Linked DNA regions of Ovis aries. The protein of the gene in region 1 purifies or fractionates together with the protein of each later gene. This does not show direct contact. Links are inferred from orthologs where the notes say so. Each region holds a gene or a part of one and is shown in the gene's direction. Other genes may lie near its edges.

Region 1 (3,651 bases):
TACAAACTAGAAACATAACATATTTTGAGTATAGCCCTGAAACTTTAAATTATATTGCAATAAGGACAGGAGGTAAGATGGTTGAATGGCATCACAGACTCGATGGATGTGAGTTTGCAGTCCATGCGGTCACAAAGAGTCAGGCATGACTGAGTGACTGAACTGAAGGAAGGAAGAAAACCAGGGTTCTAGTCCCTGTTCTGCCATTAATTATGTGATAGTGAAGTGAAAGTGTTAGTCACTCACTTGTGTCTGACTGTGATCCAATGGACTGTAGCTCGACAGGTTTCTCTGTTCATGGAATTCTCCAGGCAAGAATACTGGAGTGGGTTGCCATTCCCTACTCCAGGGGATCTTCCTGACCCAGGGATTGAACCCATTTTACCTACATCACAGGCAGATTCTTTACCATCTGAGCTTCCAGGGAAGCTGCCATTAATTGTGTAACCCATAGCAAATCACTTAACCTCTTAGATTTTCTTGTCTGTAAAATGAGGAAGTTGAAATGGATGGGCTGAGGACTCTTCATCTGTGAAATTCATTGACTTCGACTTTTTAGATGGTAGAGTTTAACTGCTACACTTGCCTTAGTTGGTAATCGTGATTTTCAGGACTGTGTATCTTCATGATTGAAAAAAGGCCATCAGTCTTTTTTCAATTATATTGTTCTGCGTCATCATCTTCTCTCCTCTGCCTTTGCATTCTCTTGTTTAGTTGCTAAGTCATGTCTGACTCTTTGCAGACCTGTGGACTGTAGCCCGCTAGGCTCCTCTGTCCATGGGATTTGCCAGTCAAGAATACTGGAGTGAGTTGCCATTTCCTCCTCCAGGGAATCTTCCCGACCCAGGAGCAAACCTGCATCTCCTGCATTGGCAGGAAGATTCTTTATCACTGAACCACAGGGAAGCCCCACAACGGAATATTATGAATAGCTATATACCAACAAATAGGGCAACCTAAAAGAAACAGACAAATTTTTAAAATCATACAGACTTCCAAGATGGAACCATGAAGAGATATTCTCTTACCTCTCTTACATACAGAGAGAGGAAAGGTATTCTCTTTCCTCTTTTTACAGAAACTAAAAAATTTTCTGTTTGGAAAACTCTTTTCTCTGACTTAAAGTTACTATTCTCAGGGTAAGAGGGTAGTAACAATGCACAGCCTTTTCTGCTGCCTTGTCATTAAATAAACAGCTGGTAAAGAATCCGCCTGCAATGCAGGAGACTCCGGTTCAATTCCTTGGTCAGAAAGATCTGGTGGATAAGGGATAGGGTACCCACTCCAGTATTCTTGGGCTTTCTTGATAGCTCAGCTGGTAAAGAATCTGCCTGCAATGTGGGAGACCTGGTATTCAACCCCTGGGTTGGGAAGATCCCTGGAAAAGGGAATGGCTACCCACTCTAATATTCTGGCCTGGAGCATTCCATGAACTATATATAGTCCATGGGGGTCACAAAGAGTTGGACACCCTGAGCGACTTTCACTTTCACTGTTTTACATAGTGGCACTTTCATTGTTTTACATAGTGAATCTCAAATTTTACAATTCTAAATCAGTCGTGTTAGTAAAAAGCGCCCCTTTCATTTCGTAGGGGTCCTTTTCTTGGCATTCAGCTCGCCTGGTCACTTGGTGCGTGTGCTTTCTTTTGTTTCTTTGTTTTCGTTTGTTAACTAAAGCACCAGTGATTAGAGGCTTCAGTTAATAACTTACGGTGAAATGCCTCCACTGCAGAGAATGGAAAGGATGAAACCTTTTGCAAACCCCCCCCCCCCCGAACTAGCATTCTTTAAAATAAATCTCCACCGGAATGAGATAAGCAATGAACAGAGCCATTGAAAACCCTTGCTGCTCTCATGGTAACCTGGACTCACCTAGGCAATTGAAATAGTCTTTCTCATAAATAGTATGTTTCCATAGTGATGGACTTCACATTCAAATTAAATGAGCACCACTTTTAAGATGAGGACGTAAGGGGATTTATTAATTAAAATTTGTTACCAAAAACTATGCATGTAAATTTATTAAATGTTCATTTTCATCCTAAAGGAAAATTCTTTAGGGGTTACTGCCCACTCTCCTAATACAGTCTTATGGTTGGAAGGGTCTTTTTTTGACCTCGACCAGGGCTTCCCCGGAGACTGAGCAGGAAAGAATGCATCTGCAATGCAGAAAACTAAAGAGATGAGGGTCCAGTCCCTGGACCGGGAGATCCCCAGATGGAGGGCGTGGCAACCCAATCTAGTATTCTTGCTGGGAAATCCCGTGGACAAAGGAACCTGGCGGGCTATAGCCCATGGGGTCATAAAGAGGCGGACATGACAGAAGCGACTGAACATGCACATACAGTTTCCAAAAGCTCTTTTGCTTTCATGATTTCTCTTCTTTTGGCTTTTGCGTGTCTTCTAGTTAGACAGGTTTAAAGAACCTCCAGCCTTTGGGCCAGTGTGTGACCTGCTTTGGTCTGATCCCTCCGAGGATTATGGCAATGAAAAGACCTTGGAACACTATACCCACAACACTGTCCGAGGGTGCTCTTATTTTTACAGGTAAGCTAATCCTCAGTTAAGATTAGATGGGGAAATAATGGAAACAGTGAGAGACTTTATTTTCTTGGGCTCCAAAATCACTGCAGATGGTGACTGCAGCCATGAAATTAAAAGACGCTTGCTCCTTGGAAGAAAAGCTATGACCAACCTAGACAGCATATTAAAACGCAGAGATATTACTTTGCCAACAAAGGTCCATGTAGTCAAAGCTATGATTTTTCCAGTAGTCATGTATGGATGTGAGATTTGGACTATAAAGAAAGCTGAGAGCTAAAGAATTGATGCTTTTGAACTATGGTGTTGGAGAAGACTCTTGAGAATCCGTTGGACTGCAAGGAGATCAAACCAGTCAATTCTAAAGGAAATCAGTCCTAAATATTCATTGGAAGGACTGATGCTGAAGCTGAAGCTCCAATACTTTGGCCACCTAATTTAAAGAACTGACTCATTGGAAAAGCCTCTGATGCTGGGAAAGATTGAAGGTGGGAGAAGGGGACGACAGAGGATGAGATGGTTGAATGTTATCACTGACTTGATGGATAAGAGTTTGAGCAGGCTCTGGGAGTCGGTGATGGACAGGGAAGCTTGGCGTGCCGTAGTCCATGGGGTCACAAAGAGTTGCACAAGACTGAGCGACTGAACTGAACTGAATCCTCAGAAAATTAGAAGAGGAAGTTATAATATACTTTATCAAAGTATTTTAAATTGCATATTTGGTATCTTGCATCTGTGTCATTCAGGGACTTCTACTCAATTTTTTGATTAATAAAAGGAAGAAACCGCTTTTCTTCCTTTGCTTGTTTTTTTATACTTTATTAGGTGTTATGCCCTAATAGGTGTAATATACCAAACGCAATTGAACACAACATCGTGTAGTGCTTAAGTGTTATTGTGTGACTCTGGATAATCTAGATTATCTGTTCCCAAACATCCTCTGTTGACTTCTTGAAAAATAAAGACTTCTTGGCTCTTCTTTCAGAGATTCTGGTTCAGTAAGCCTGAGACAAGGGAATCCTGTTATTTTTTTAAAAGCTCTCTAGCTTTTGGAACTGCTGGTATTGGCAAAGATATAAAAAGAACAGGACATTGTGAACTAAGCCCA
Region 2 (3,651 bases), about 200 Mb from region 1:
TTAGGCATATTCAGTGGAAGGCTAAAAAGACGAGTCTGCAAGTCTAGATCTCAGGAGAGGCGGAGTCCAGGTATGTAACTCACACAGACCTGTGATTTTCCGTGTGCAAAGGCAGGAAGGACTTGAGGGCAGATTAGAATCTCTCAGGGTCACGTTGTTTTTCAAACCACCATCCCCTCCAGTGCCCAAGATCCTGCTTCCCCCTTCACTTCGGTGACATCTTTCCTGGCTGAAGAATAATTGTTGGAAGCAAGAGACTGTCTTGATAGACACATGTCATGCGGGTGAACCACAGGGAAGCAGGAAGCAGAGTTGAGAAACACTGGTGGCAGCGTAGTTAAATGCTGGGGCGTGGATGAAAGCGCTCAGGAAGAGTAAGATGACAAAGAGGATGGGGTTGAAACCTCAAGGAGACAGAGTTGTAAAGGCTGAGTGGAGAGAGAGGAGCCACTTTGAGGACAGATGAGGAGGAAGGAGAGCTGGGAGGCAGGGGCACAGAGACATCCCACGGTGGATGGGTGGGACCGGGGCCGTCCGGAGGCAGGTGCCAGCCCCGAGGAGGCTGCTGCTGTCCAGTCGGGGCCGGTTCAGCCGGAAGGTGGTGACAGGAGTCCAGCTGCCTGGAATTCAGGAGTGATGGGAGTCAAGGCGATTCCTCTTTCCAGGATGCCTCTAGAAAAGGGGAAGCAGAGACACAGGGAGGTGGATTGAGGGGCAGGCAGACTCCAAATGGAAAATTTTTCTTTTTTCAAAACTGGGGTGGGGTGGGGGCAGGGACTCAGGTAGATGTTTGCTAAGGAAGAAGAAAGACTGGGTGGAGACCGATACATTAAAACTATAGGAGGCAGGGCTTCCCTGGCGGTCCAGTGGTTAAGATTGTGTGCTTCTAATGCACGAGGCACAGGTTCGATTCCCGGTCAGGGAACTAAGATTCTACATGCTGTGCAGGGCAGCCAAAGAGGGGGGAAAAAAATTCTGAGCTCTAAAACAGTGACCCGAGTTTGACCCCTGGTCAGGGAACTAGATACCGCATGCCGCAACTAAGAGTTCACATGCTGTGAAAAGGAATGAATTTGACTCAGTTCTAGGGGAATGGGTGAACCTAGAGCCTTTATACAGAGAGGAGTAAGTCAGAAAGAGAAAAATATATACTAACATGTATATATGGAATCGAGAAAAATGGCACTGATGAACCTACTTGCTGGGCAGGAATAGAGATGCAGACAGAGAGAACAGATTTGTGGACACAGCGGGGGCTGGTGGCGGGGGGCCAGGAGGAAGGAGAGAGAGGGAAGAATGAGAGATGAGCAGAAACGTATGCATTACCGTATGCAAAATAGATAGCTAGTGGGAAGTTGCTGTATAACTCAGGGAGCTCAACTAGGTGCTCTGTGACAACCTAGAGGGGTGGGATCGGAAAGGGGGTGGGACCTATGTGTAGCTACGGCTGAGTCATGTTGTTGTATGGCAGAAACCAACACAACATTGTAAAGGAATTATCCTCCAATTAAAAAAAAAAAAAGAGTTCTCATGCTGCAGCTAAGACCCAGTGCAGCCAAATTAAAAAAAAAAAAAAAAAGCACACAGAAAACAAAAAAATGTGTGGGTGCCAAGATCCTTTTGAGGTGGTTGGTGTCGTTGAGGAGAAATTCTTGCTGGGTGGGAGCTCCTCGAGGATAGGAACCATGCTTTATTCATCTCATGGCTCCCTGTACCTGGCATGCAGTATAGATTCGGAAAATGTTTGTAAAAACAAGTGAAGATTTACTTTTTAGAATTAGCCTTTCCTGATTGATATAGTGTGATAACTGGGGGAAATCACTATTTTTTCCCCATAATTAACATTCTATATTGTACTCTTTGTAAGCAATCTATTTGCAACTTCGTGTTCTTTGAAATAAAAGAGAAAAATCACAGATTAGGTAATATTGAGGTAGTAATAATCATGCTTATTTAATTTTCTTGCGCCTGATAGGTAATGACTTAAATTCCAGCATCTTGAAATGTGTAAGGTTCAAGGCACCTGCCTGGTGGGTGTCATGTGCAGTTCATCAGAAGAGATAAAAACGGGTAAAAATAGTCTTATAAGGCAGTTGCTGTCCATTATTTAACAGAGGGACACTATCCGCTCCATGCTGGTAAAGGGATTTATTTTTAAGCATTCATTGAAAGGACATTTTTTAAATTGTCTTCTATGTCAGATTTTGCCTGTAGCTAATATTTCTGATATTAACAAGGACCGACTTTATATAGAGCTTTGGGTTCTGTGTAACTTAATTCTTCGAGAGTATATTCAAAAGAACAGATTGGTTAAAAAAGGTGAAGTCAGCTCATTGCAGGCCATATTTCAGGGTGCAGATGGTGAGTGAATCCGTGTGGGTTTTCTTCTGCTCTGCCAAGTTTCAGTGTTGTGGACCTAAATCCCAAACAAATATGGGAAGGAGGTTCTGGTTCACGTTTTCCTTCCCCCTGCTTGTAAACAGATGTGTATGTTGATAGTATCTCCTTTTGTATTATCCGCCCCCTGCCCCCACCACCTCATTTCACTAGGAAACTTCCAGCCTTTATTTTTCATAATAAGTCATTGCCTGTGAAATATCTTATGTAAAATATGCTAAGCAAATCAAATTAGTATATATAGAATTCATTGCTGAGGACCCTGATGAGTTGATTGATCTTTCCTGAATAAAATTGCCTCCTTTGATGAATTGCTGTCTTGAGAATTGATTGGAACCTTATTGGACCTTCAATATCTTATCTCTGTTGTTTTCTCTTTTTTTAAACACTTGATGCCTGGTAGACATCCTCGAACTTTAAAAACGGAGACGATCTGCTTTTAGAGGAAAATGCTGAGGGACGCTATGAAGTCTTGGAATGATAGCCAGTCAGATCTTTGCAGCACTGACCACGAAGAGGAAGAAGAGATGGTTTTTGGTGAAAATGAAGATGACTTGGAAGAGATGATGGATTTAAGTGACCTGCCTACCTCACTTTTTGCTTGCAGAGTCCATGAGGCAGTGTTCGAGGTGCCGGAGCAGAAGGTAGGCATACCTCCTACCTTTCTCTGTCTTTGCTAGTGTGTTGAATGTGTGTGGATTCGGGGAAGCAGTTGCTAGCTGCCTATTTGCAAAATTTGTTATTGGTCCATGGCAGGTAGAGAAGTGTGCACCAAACTTTAGACATTGCTTTGGCATTTTGGGGCTCACTGGTGGCTCAGACACAGTAAAGAATCTGCCTGCAATGAGGGAGACACAAGTTCGATCCCTGGGTTGGGACGATGCCCTGGATTAGGGTATGGCAACCCACTCCAATACTCTTGCCTGGATAATCCGATGAACAGAGGAGCCTGGAGGGCTGCAGTCCATTGGGTCTCAGAGTCGGACACGGCTGAGCGACTTTCACTTTCAGCCTTCTGGGATTTTTATTATGTTTTATGAGAATATCAGAGAAGGCAATGGCACCCCACTCCAGTACTCTTGCCTGGAAAATCCCATGGATGGAGGAGCCTGATGAGCTGCAGTCCATGGGGTTGCTAAGAGTTGGACACGACTGAGCGGCTTCACTTTCACTTTTCACTTTCATGCATTGGAGAAGGAAATGGCAACCCACTCCAGTGTTCTTGCCTGGAGAATCCCAGGGACAGGGCAGCCT

What was found. The genes of interacting proteins can lie anywhere in the genome.
Region 2: the proteins of PPP3CC (region 1) and RCAN3 purify together in Homo sapiens (affinity purification with mass spectrometry; 3 studies listed by BioGRID and IntAct, counting the BioPlex papers as one, with this or other methods). This does not show direct contact. The link is inferred for Ovis aries from reciprocal best matches to the Homo sapiens genes PPP3CC and RCAN3.

What each region holds. Positions count from the first base shown.
Region 1 is NC_056055.1:43,134,275-43,137,925, reverse strand, and holds part of PPP3CC (serine/threonine-protein phosphatase 2B catalytic subunit gamma isoform), read left to right. Parts: intron 1-2,409; coding exon 2,410-2,549; intron 2,550-3,651. UniProt on the Homo sapiens protein: Calcium-dependent, calmodulin-stimulated protein phosphatase which plays an essential role in the transduction of intracellular Ca(2+)-mediated signals. Dephosphorylates and activates transcription factor NFATC1.
Region 2 is NC_056055.1:242,165,778-242,169,428, reverse strand, and holds part of RCAN3 (calcipressin-3), read left to right. Parts: intron 1-2,800; 5' UTR 2,801-2,846; coding exon 2,847-3,041; intron 3,042-3,651.